Neurospora crassa OR74A: one gene and its partners. The protein of the gene in region 2 purifies or fractionates together with the protein of the main gene of each other region. This does not show direct contact. Links are inferred from orthologs where the notes say so. Each region holds a gene or a part of one and is shown on either strand. Other genes may lie near its edges.

Evidence for each region.
Region 1: the proteins of NCU00210 (region 2) and NCU05645 purify together in Saccharomyces cerevisiae (affinity purification with mass spectrometry; 6 studies listed by BioGRID). This does not show direct contact. The link is inferred for Neurospora crassa OR74A from reciprocal best matches to the Saccharomyces cerevisiae genes CBC2 and LUC7.
Region 3: the proteins of NCU00210 (region 2) and NCU01695 purify together in Saccharomyces cerevisiae (affinity purification with mass spectrometry; 6 studies listed by BioGRID). This does not show direct contact. The link is inferred for Neurospora crassa OR74A from reciprocal best matches to the Saccharomyces cerevisiae genes CBC2 and NRD1.

The regions. Positions count from the first base shown.
Region 1 is NC_026506.1:1,219,775-1,222,984, forward strand, and holds NCU05645 (U1 snRNP splicing complex subunit), read right to left. Parts: upstream 1,832-3,210; 5' UTR 1,702-1,831; coding exon 1,674-1,701; intron 1,602-1,673; coding exon 775-1,601; 3' UTR 501-774; downstream 1-500. Other genes in the region: gpit-1 (GPI transamidase component GPI16), read left to right, coding at 2,333-2,745, 2,820-3,210. UniProt on the Saccharomyces cerevisiae protein: Component of the U1 snRNP particle, which recognizes and binds the 5'-splice site of pre-mRNA. Together with other non-snRNP factors, U1 snRNP forms the spliceosomal commitment complex, that targets pre-mRNA to the splicing pathway.
Region 2 is NC_026503.1:3,018,588-3,022,273, reverse strand, and holds NCU00210 (nuclear cap binding protein subunit 2), read right to left. Parts: upstream 2,246-3,686; 5' UTR 2,055-2,245; coding exon 1,986-2,054; intron 1,888-1,985; coding exon 1,766-1,887; intron 1,678-1,765; coding exon 1,284-1,677; 3' UTR 803-1,283; downstream 1-802. Other genes in the region: NCU00211 (mitochondrial ribosomal protein subunit L31), read left to right, coding at 267-316, 389-618, 689-741; NCU00209 (hypothetical protein), read left to right, coding at 3,589-3,686.
Region 3 is NC_026502.1:2,700,356-2,704,299, forward strand, and holds the start of NCU01695 (RNA binding protein Nrd1), read right to left. Parts: upstream 2,801-3,944; 5' UTR 1,838-2,800; coding exon 1,709-1,837; intron 1,633-1,708; coding exon 1,387-1,632; intron 1,174-1,386; coding exon 1,071-1,173; intron 980-1,070; coding exon 1-979. UniProt on the Saccharomyces cerevisiae protein: Plays a role in sequence-specific regulation of nuclear pre-mRNA abundance.

The DNA.
Region 1 (3,210 bases), on a different chromosome or scaffold from region 2:
CAGAGAGGGCAATAGAAACACCCGGGAGCCACAAAGCATCCCAGGTTTTGCCACTTACAGCAAGTAACAGAGCATTGCTGGATGTTCAATATATGAAAAGCGAGCACGTTGAAGATGAACAATCCTATCGCCATTATAACAACCCGGAAAACATTATAAAATGGGTAACAGAATCCGATATCACCCAAATGCGTCGGTGGAAGGGTCCCAACATGCATTCCGATGAGAATAATACGACACCAGAGGAGTAACTTGCCGTTGGTGACGACTCGGTGTATTTTTCCTCGGGAGGGCGACTTGTAGAGGGGTCCTGGAAACCACAGGCATTTTTTTTGGGCCGTAGAGGATGGAAGCGAGGTGTTTCTTTCATGTGATACGAAAAATGTCTAGACAACAGCGATTTTGTAAAAGCGAACAGACGAATTGATACCACAAGAATCTGAATTGAGATTGCTAGCCGGAACCGCAATTGATCATGCACAATGTAAAGGGTAACCCGAGTTATATCGCATTGATTGAAGTGTAATTGCTGGTAACGTCGATTCTATACCTGTCTGTGTGTTGCGCTCTCATGATATAACTAATAGCTTCTTTTCTCTACGCGGGCTGCAAAAATAAAGACCATAAAGGGACAAGCTCCGACTTCTTCAAATCCCAGGCTCGAATAGTGTAAAACGCCCCAACGCCCTTTCAATGCACATGATTCCGCCAGATCTTGGATCGTATCCATCTCCTTTCCCCGTTTCTTCCCTTAACATCGACGCCTCAAGCACCCTACCACCCACCACGTCTAGGACCACGCCCACGATAACCGCCACCGCCACTCCTGGGTCCACGGCCTCTACCCCAATCATCATGTCGTCCACCAGGACCCGTTGGCACACCACCCATATCATCATCACCACCACCGCCCATTCCCATGGGCCTCTGCCGTCCACGCATCTCCTTCGGGAATGCATCATACGTCTTCCGCATCTGCGCATATCCCAAATGCATCTTGCCAAAGAAGTGATCCGCCAGTCTGCGGTCATTATCCAACCGGGACAGGTACGCCCCGCACACGTCGCACACCTGCAGCTTCTGATGGCCTGACGGGCCACTCGTATCCGACAGCGCCTTCAGCTCTCTCTCCTTCTCCTGCTTCGCCGCTTGCGCCTGGCGCACCCTGAACAGCTCGTCATACGCCCTCCCCACTTCGCCCAGCTCTCCCAAGATCTCCACCTCCAACAGACCCGTCGCAATGGTCGTGCCCAAGTCCGAGATGGCCTTGAGCAACACGTTTGTCTGCCGGATCTCGTCGGGCGTCTTTTCGAGGCGTCGCTGTGCCGCGTCGATCCGTCGGTTGCACTCGTCAATGTACTTTTGCAGGTCGCGCATGTAGTCGTAGTCGAAACCGTACTTCTTCTTTTCTTGTTCAGGCAGGGCTTCGTACTCGGCCTTGAGGGCTTCCGAGTGCACGCGCGAGCACGGGCCGAGGTCTTGCTTGGTGTTGGTGAAGAGGTCGTGCGGGCAGGTGCCGACGAGGTAGGAGCGGCAGACTTTGGGGTCGGTGAGGGAGAGTTGGGCGGAGCGGGAGGAGATGCCGCCGCCCATCAGCTGCTCTGCATGGTTGGGGTGAAGAAGTTAGTGGGAGTTTGTAGGGGGGTGGGAGGAAGTATGGGGATGCGACTTACCGAGCAGCTTTCTTTGTTCGGCCGCCATGATTGGTCTTGTTGTTTATAATTATTACTATGAAAATGTTTTGGGTTCGATAGGCGTCGCTAGGTTTTGGTTTGACGGAAATTGCGAGGGCTGGTGATGGTAAAGCGCTTTCGCGGTTGCTGACGTTTTGTTTTGTTTGGGAGAAATTCCCAAGATTTTGGAGGTCGAATGCAGTCGCAAAAGTCAGCCGCGCATGCAAGGCTGCTTGCTGGATGGAACCTGATCGCTGAAACCGGGGAAGTGGACCCACTTTACATACCCTCCATTCCCCTGTTGCCGCTATAATCCCGGTTCATCCACTGGAAATGTGCTGTCATCAACCACAATTCCCTTCTGGGTCTTGTCCCGCTATGCCAGGGCGCGGCAGGCACTCTTCCAGCACCTCCCATCAGCAATGGGGGGGGGTGCCCAAGTTGCGATCCCCTCCGACGGCAGCCAGGGCACCCAACGCAACACCAACAAAAGTTAAAAGTTAGGTGTGAACTGTCACCATCTTTGCCGTCGTGTCTTCCACTTCTACTTCTGTCTTGCCATTGTCTCCGGAAATTGCTTTTGGTACTTTGCGGTGGACGTACAGATCAAGCAAATGGATAGACAACGGCAATAGACAGCGTTCACTCCAGTTAATACAATGCGCCCATCCTTTCCTTCTTCTTTCTTACTCTCCTTACTTTCTCTTCTTTGCTTCTCGCCCTACACTGCGATCGCCAATGCCTCCTCCTCCCCTGCCGATTCCATTTCCAACTCCCGATCCGACTACCACGAACAGCTAATATTGCGCCCGCTACCATTGTCGACTCTGCTCGCCAGCTTCAACTTCCGCTCCAACACATCGCTCTCTGCCTTCGAGGCGCACAATTTCCGCTTCTTCCCCAGGTCGCTGGGCCAGATTCTCGAGCATGCCGGCACGCGCGAGTTACACTTGAGGTTTAGTCTGGGAAGATGGGATGCCGAGAGCTGGGGCGCAAGGCCGTGGAATGGTGCGCGCGAGGGTGGAACAGGTGTTGAGATGTGGGCGTGGCTGGAGGCAGATACAGACGAGGAGTATGTTTCACCACCACCCACACAACACCGCGGATCATGACTTGGGCGAGAGACTAACTACAGACACCATGTAGGGCCGACCGTAAATGGCTGACGCTCACCAATGCGCTGTCTGGCCTCTTCTGTGCTTCTCTCAACTTCATCGATAGCACCCGAACTACCCGTCCCGTCATGTCCTTCCAGCCCGAGGGCAACCACATCGACGCGAACGCGACGAACATGCACCTACTTTACGGCGTGCTACCCCACGAAGTTGTCTGTACCGAGAACTTGACACCCTTTCTTAAGCTTCTTCCATGCAAGGGCAAGGCTGGTATTGCGTCGTTGCTTGACGGACATAAGCTCTTCGACTCCTCATGGCAGACAATGGCGATCGATATCCGGCCCGTGTGCCCGGAGGATGGCGAGTGTGTGTTGCAGATCGAGCAAAGCATTGACATGGTATTGGACATTGATCGATCCAAG
Region 2 (3,686 bases):
GGGCTCCACGAGGCTGAACAGTGGACCTTACAGGGGCGAATCCAGGCCTACTATCTGAGACTGGGTCTTGGCATCCGCTCTCGAGCTGGTGTTCTTTCGGGGTTGGGGTTGGCGAACGGACCCGCGATTTTTTTTGGACGGGACTGTTTGGACTTTGGACGACGACCGCCCGCCCGCGCCGATTCCCGCGATACCTTCGGGACCCATCCTGACGAAGCGAACCGGTTGCAGCTCTCCCCCCCCAAACATCCACCACCACCACCACAATGTTTGGGGCTTTCAGATTCACCAACCCCCTCTCCGGGGGTCTTCTTTGGTAAGCGACTACCCTATGTTGCAGTTGCGCCAAAGGTTCTACCGGAAATGCTAATCATGTCGCGGCAAACAGGAAGATCCCATGGCGCATGTCCAAGTTCCAGAAGCTCAGGCAGCGCCGCAGACTGAGGGCCGTTGACAACGTCGTCGCCACCATTGAGAACGCTCTTGCCAAGAAGGGTGAGACCGTCAAGGCGGTGGAACGCTGGAGGGCTGAGATGCCCACCGAGGCCGAGATGCTGCCCAAGGACAAGTACACCATCTTCGACCGCAAGGAGAAGAGGTACCGCAAGGGCATCCACAGTACGGGCCACCCTTGTGCATCACTTCACAGCAGTCAAAGACCAAGGCTAATACGGCATTCCTTTTCCAGAGCTTCCCAAGTGGACCCGTGTGTCCCAGAGAGTCAACCCTCCCGGTTACTAAGACCTTCGACCCGGACGATGGACGATATCGTGCAAGCATGTATATCACTTGTAACATTACGCAGCGAAATGGCATGGGTGACATTGGAGATACCGCTAACAGGACCGTTTGCTTGGGGCAAAGAAGAGGAGGCCTCCTGTCTCGTCTCGCAAAGAGACTGACTGACTTGGAGGTCCTGTCCATCATGGACACTCCTGCTCGCTCCATGTTGAGATACCACTGCAGAGAGCAGCGCAAACACGGCCAGGCGAGCATCACAGAAGAATGTGTGGAGCCATACCGAATGGATGGGAAATCAATAATTTCCCGAAATACCATAGCAAGATACCAATACAACAACGAATATCATGTCTTCCAAGGGGGTATTTGTCTTTTACGCTTCTCTGTTCCGCCTCCACTTGCCCTGAATGAACAAAATTCGTAATTTCAGAGCCGGCTTGCATATTTTGTGTCGATTTGTCATGACGACTGGTTGAATATCTGTGCACTGGATCATGATGCACTCCCTCATTGTCCCACGTAACTCCCATGCAATGACAACTCTAGCGCAAGCGGCCGTATTGTTCGTCGTTATCGTCGTAGCGCTTGTGGTCATGCTCCCTCATTCTCTCGGCCTGGATTTGCCGGCCAAGACCACCGCGGCCCTCGTCGTAGTCCTCACGGTACTCATCACGAACTTGGCCGCCCGACTTTCCACGGCCGTACTGTCGCCCTTCCTCGAAGCCTGGGTCGAGATCGGTTCGGATGATGCGCTCGTCCAACTTGGTGCCGCCAATGTACTTCATGCAATCGAGAGCGTCCTGATGGGTGTAGTATTCGACGAAGCAGAAACCGCACGGTGTCTTTTGTAAGCGATCGAGGCCCATGACCAAGCGCTTGATCTCGCCGCATTTGCTAAAGAGTTCGTAAACCTGTTCTTCGGTAGTGTAGAAGGAACTGCCGAGGTACATTCGGTTAGTTCTTGTTTCTTTTGATTTTTTTTTGATTTTTTTAATTAAGGACTGGCAGCGTGGGGCAAACTTGCAGATTGCCGACGTAGAGCGTGGTCGCATCCTTCAACGGGTCATCGAACGCTTCGGGATGCATGTTACTGTCTTCGTTTTCTCCATCGCGGTGGTCCCGGTCGTGACGTCTGTTGCGCCTATTCTGTGTTGAGTGGATGGGTCAGCGGTCGACGGGGTGCTAATTATGGACAGGAGAGATTGGCAATGTTTGGGCATGGAAATGCCGTCAGGAGCACTCACCTTGTTGAAAAAGTATGCACTTGGCCTGTCAAGGCGCTCTACGGTGCTCCTTTGGCGAGTGTTCAACATGGTTACCTGGTAGTGAAGATGGATTATCTGCTCTTGGGTGAAAGGTGCCCTGCAACTGCGAAGAAGAAGGAAAATCAAAAGCTGTCAGCCCAAGTGGAAGTTCAATGGTTTGGAGTTCTGAGACGTCGATGGGGATGATGCAGTGGTTTCCCTTGCCAATGGAATTGGACCTACCTAAGAGGTAACTTAGGTTGCCCGCTAAAGTGGAAGTACAGGCGCAGCTACTTTCTGAGCGCGACTGGTGTGCCCGTGTACCGCGACAGCAGCACTGCAGGCTTCGTTCACAGTTCAGTTCAGCTCAGGTCAGTTACACTTAGTCCTGTTGGCGCACAGTGTCACAGTGCATCGGACATCACTGCATGGCAATCCAGGTAGTCTTGGCACTGTAACGGGCGACGGAAGCCGTTGGTGGTGGGTCAGGTACCCTATCTTACGAGGTGCCCGCAAATATGACGACGGCAGGCAAGGGCAGAGCGATGGAAGCAAGGGCAGGAGGACTTGGTGGAGGCGCTTTGTCGTTGATCCAACAACCATTGCCAGCCGATTGGACCGCAATCTGGCACCCAATTTACAGGCGCGTCACAGCACAACTGTACCTACCTCGGGCTTACCATTTATAGTATGTATACAGCTAGGTCTCCGTTAAGACCTCCATTCGGCCATTCCATCCCCTCTCATCCCGGGCGGCCTGCCTGTCTCCTGTTGATCAATGACCGATGGTGTGAGACGAGGCGGCGAGCACGGTCTGGACTGAACACCGGCGGACAGTTGAAACGGACTAAAGGGCTGTGGAAGGAGTGGAAACGCGCTAAAATGAAGCTAACACGATCGATCAAGGCAAGCAACGGAAAATATACGGCATAGGCACGGAAGCGGACGCCTCTAGTGACGCCCTGGACGCCTCATTTACAGCACTGGCTCGGACTGGACAATAGTGGCATCCAGCACTCGTCCATCCACGGGCATCCATCAGGTCCGTAGCACTACACGCTAGTCAAACCTTGTTGTTACCATCCTGACCAGCCAACCGAGACCACTAGCAAACTTCGCTTTCCTGGCTTTTTCTCCCATGGGATCGATCGAGGGGCCTGCCACTTCAAAAAGGGATCCCAATCTCTCTCCTTGTCTTCCCTCCCTTGGCTTCTGTTCTACTTGCTCTTGATCACCTTTTTTTTTTTTTTTTTTCATCTTCAAAAACCGAGAACCGCCATCACATTAATAGTACCGGTACATCAAATACATACGTACCTCGACCATAGTGCGCCTGCCTACCTACATAGCCAATTACCTCCCCACCTACATACATTACTTCAGCAGAGAAAGCGAAGTGCAGCACGACGACAAAAACCGGCCCGTGCATGCTAGGACATAGCAGGACCTCAACACAAGCTACTATTTCTGCCTAGCCAGACACCAACTTCGGTTTTCATTGCGCCACACGAACCACCGTCATCTGTAGGATTCATCAGGCTCGAGTTGGATAGTATAGCGACAACAGACAGCTCTTAGCACAAAACCACCAAGCACAGTCGGGATGCCCAAAATCCGGAGCTTCTCGGCGCCCTGGCTCCAGGAGCCAAACCCCGGCCATAAGCTCTTTGAGCAGGCCGAGGAAACCAACCGGCTCCCCGC
Region 3 (3,944 bases), on a different chromosome or scaffold from region 2:
TTCTCGGAGGGCGGCTCCTGACCCGGGCTCTCATGTCTACGGTTGGGGGGCGACCGTTGTCGGTACTCGGGAATACGCATATCCCGGTCTCTACCACGATCATCCGGATGGCCACGGGGCGGGGTGCTCCGCCCATAATCAAAGCGATCGTTACCGCGGGCTCGAGGCGACCCCCTGACATCCCAGCGCCGCGGCGAGCGTGAGCGAGAGCGACCCCGAGGCCTATTTGGAGACCTCATCCCATCATGATAGCCATTACGATCACGTGATTCATCATGTCTCACGGCCTCCCATGCAGGGGCAGCAGATACACCGCCAGCAGGGGGAGGAGGAGGATAGCCGGCATATAGAGGCTGAGCAACGGACTGGGGAGGTGCTGCCGGGGCGGTGCCACTTGGTTGACCCATCAGCTGCATTACACTGGCAATCTTGTCAAGAGGGATGCCCTGGGCGGCGAGGGCGGCGAACAGCTGAACCGTCGTAGCGGTATTCGCACTAGGGGCTGCTCCTGGCACTTGCACAGGCTGAGCTAGCTGTGCGGCCGGAGCTGGGAAGCCAAATGGCATCGTCGGTGGCATGTTCACCGACTGCCCCGCCGGCTGCGATGCTGATAAGTACGGCATACCCGGGTGCCCCACACCGGGAAGAAATCCGGCTGGCAATGCTCCATTGCTAGGCTGGCCAGAAGTAGCAAACATGGGATGCGGCGTGGAAGAAGTAACAGGAGGAATCTGCGGGACCCCCATTTGTACCGGAGAAGGGGCCACAGCCGCAGTTGCGGCCGGGGCGGGAGCAGGGGCGGCCGCGCTGGAATTACTCTGAGCCGCATTCGCATTCAAGCGGGCAAGATTTGCTAAGGTCTCCAGGATGTTGGACGGCATTACGGCGGTAGTTGTAGGCGTAGGGAGAGGTCTGCTAGTGGCCTGCAAGGAAGCCAGCGGGTTGGGAGGGGGACTGCCTGGTGGTGTTGTCGAGACATCTATCGGCACACGCTACAGTTAGATCAGGCAAACAACGAGCACCGCACACGCGTAAGGGAATATGCTTAGGAGGATCCGGGCAAAACCTACTGTGCTGTTGATGAGCATTCAGCTTCTCCTTGAAGGTGTTGACCATATCGGGAGGAAACGTCTGGCCCTTTTCCCATATGTCGACCAGCTTCTTGATCTTCTCCTACAAGACGATACGGGTGTGAGTTTATGAACAACATGATACTGGACACTAAATACAACCAAAAATGGATGCACGATATGGTCTAGGAAAGTGAAGACGACTGGTGTGGCCTGATCTTACAGCCGCTCCCAAGTGTGCTCGGGGTCTAGTCCGTTTGGCAGAAATGGAGGTATAAGTGTAAGACGGCACATGAGTGTGCGGTTGTGTGCGTACCTTTTGATCCTCGGGGGCCGAAGAGATGATGGCGTTCATGAACATGGGCATTAGTTCAGTCACTCTATGGACACCGGCAGCATAGGTGCCATCCTGTGCACCAAGGGTGACGGGTTGTTCAAGGGCCTTTGCCTTCTCCAACCATTTGCGGGTTACAGAATCTACGACGTATAGGACGCCCAGCTTGTGAGTGTTTGGTGTCTTCTTGTAGTGGGTATATAACTTCTGAACCAGCTGTGATTCGTACTGTCGAAGGATGTGTGGTTAGCTCTGGTGCCTCCATCGTGCATACTGTCGAGCCCAGACACGGCGCTTTTCTTACCTGGACGTTGTTCAAACACAGCATGGTGAGGCTATTGATTTTCGAGCCAGAGACACCGGGCGGTTTCAGGTTTTGCATGTCCCCGAGGCCCTTCTCTAGTTCAGCTACGGCCGCCTGTGACGACAACATGATGGATGATTTTTGTTTGAAAATCGAGCAAGACCAGCTGAAGTCGGCAATCAACTTGGCCGTTGGGCTTGGAAATACAAGCTGCGATGTAGTACGGTTGTGATACGGTGAAGGCTGATTAAAGGTTTTATGCCAATACCATGCTCCTTTGTCACGGGTGGAAAGACGGAGTACGTTGATTAAGGCTCAAACAGGTCGGCATCCAAGGTCTGCTTTCCTTGCTTCTCGACGTATATCACCGAGGTTACGAAGCTGCAATTTGCCCGCGCCACCGGGTACTCAGAAGAGAGCAGCTTGTACGAAGAGACTGTCCTTTCTGTGCGTCTTAAGACAAGCGCAGAAGCCGTAGGCCAGTGCAAAGTCCTAGCAAAAAAAAGAGAAGCCGAGAGGCCAGAGATATATGTTGCTGGCCGGCGTGTGTGCGAGCAAGAATACGGTGGTCCTTTTTATTTTTCTGACGTGACGCGCGAAGTGGAAACCACCAACTGGGGATAGCTGTGACGACGTGCAAGAACCGCAACGAAAGCAGCTGTACGAAGGGCAGACAAGATCAGGACTTGACCTGCGCGGATGTGATCTGGGCGCACCCTTTTACTGTGAGGCTACTAGAAAGTGAGAAAATCCAGGTGAGCGTGTGCTGAGTCGAGATGCATGGACAAATCCTGGGCGACTAGTCGATTACTGGATTGCTGGATTGACGAAGGCGGTCTCCGTTGGCGTTTAAGATTATTTTCGCTGATGACGACAAAAGCGTGATGTGGTGGTGATGCGAGAAGTGAGGAGGGAGTTGGGGTTGGAAAGCGGGGAGAAAGAAAAGTTGTCGTTGCAGAAGTAGAAGAAGTGGACTGGACGGGGGAGTGCCAGTGGTCGGTGGTTGGTGCAGGTATGGGTGGGTACTCGGCTGTAGTGGCTGCCCTGATCTTGACTCTGCTCGAGTCGTCTGTCGGGTTCGATTGCATCCGTTCGTCGCTTCGGTTTGCCTGCCCTGCTGCCTGTGTGCTGTGCTGCTGTGGCACCGTGGCTGTGATGCGTGGCCCGAGGGGAGGAACGAACTGGCAGGCACTTTTTCGAGCCACCCAATCACGCCTTGATTGGTTCGAATGACCCGCCTCGAACTGTTGTGACTGAAGGCTCGGAAAACCTTCTTTTTACAAGCAAACGAAAGCCTTGCAGAGAGGTGTCGGACGTGTTGTGGCCTGACGCACGTACCAAGAGCATGAGGCACTAAGGCAACAAAGCCGAGACGGATTGCGGTAAATTAGGAACCCCAACCGTTGATCCACATCCAACCTGAGATTGGATGAAGCCCTTACTGGAGTCGGTTGCGTGCTCCATCCGACTCTCCATGCAACCCCGAAGGTTCCACGAACATTGATGATGAGCGTTGAGTGTCGAGGACGTGCTAGGGAACAGATTGTGCAGGCGGGTTCATCTATTATCAATCCGTCCATCAATTGGCAATTCCAACATTGTTTTCTGGAAACCCGGAGCAGGAACGTTTCCACACCTGTCAAAAGGGGCGGCTTCCCCGGATGAGTTAGGGATCTCGCAAGGGCCAAGTACATACCTAGGTAGTCCCAAAGGCCCAAAGGGTGCCGTGACGTCAATGCATGCCGGTGTCGACATCGATGCGAGTGAACAAGCAGTTTTGACATCGCGATGTTGAGGTCTGGTCTGACAACCGCTGTCCCTCGAGACACATGCGATTGCAGAGACGCGCACATGATGTCGGTGCCGCAAGTGTTCAGCGTGGTCGTGTCCAGGTATTCTTCCGGTCTTCCGTCGTCGGCCATCCTTTTACCGCGCGCATGGACGGGAGGAGACTTGGGAACCGAAACACACGTGTGGGAGCCGCCCCGCGTTCGATCCTTAGAACGGCGTCAGCGACCCCCTGACCCGCTCGAGCTCGGCAGCTCGGCCAAGCTACCTCCACGTACATCCGGATAGAAACATTGAACCTTTGGCCCGCAGAGTTCCATGTTCAGCTTCATGATCCAAATTGACCACATTCAGGGCCGGATATTGTATCCATCAAAAAACGGAGATTTGGCGCCGGCCTCTACGGTGATTACGGTGTGGGCTTCTCCAGTCTCATACTCGCGGATTC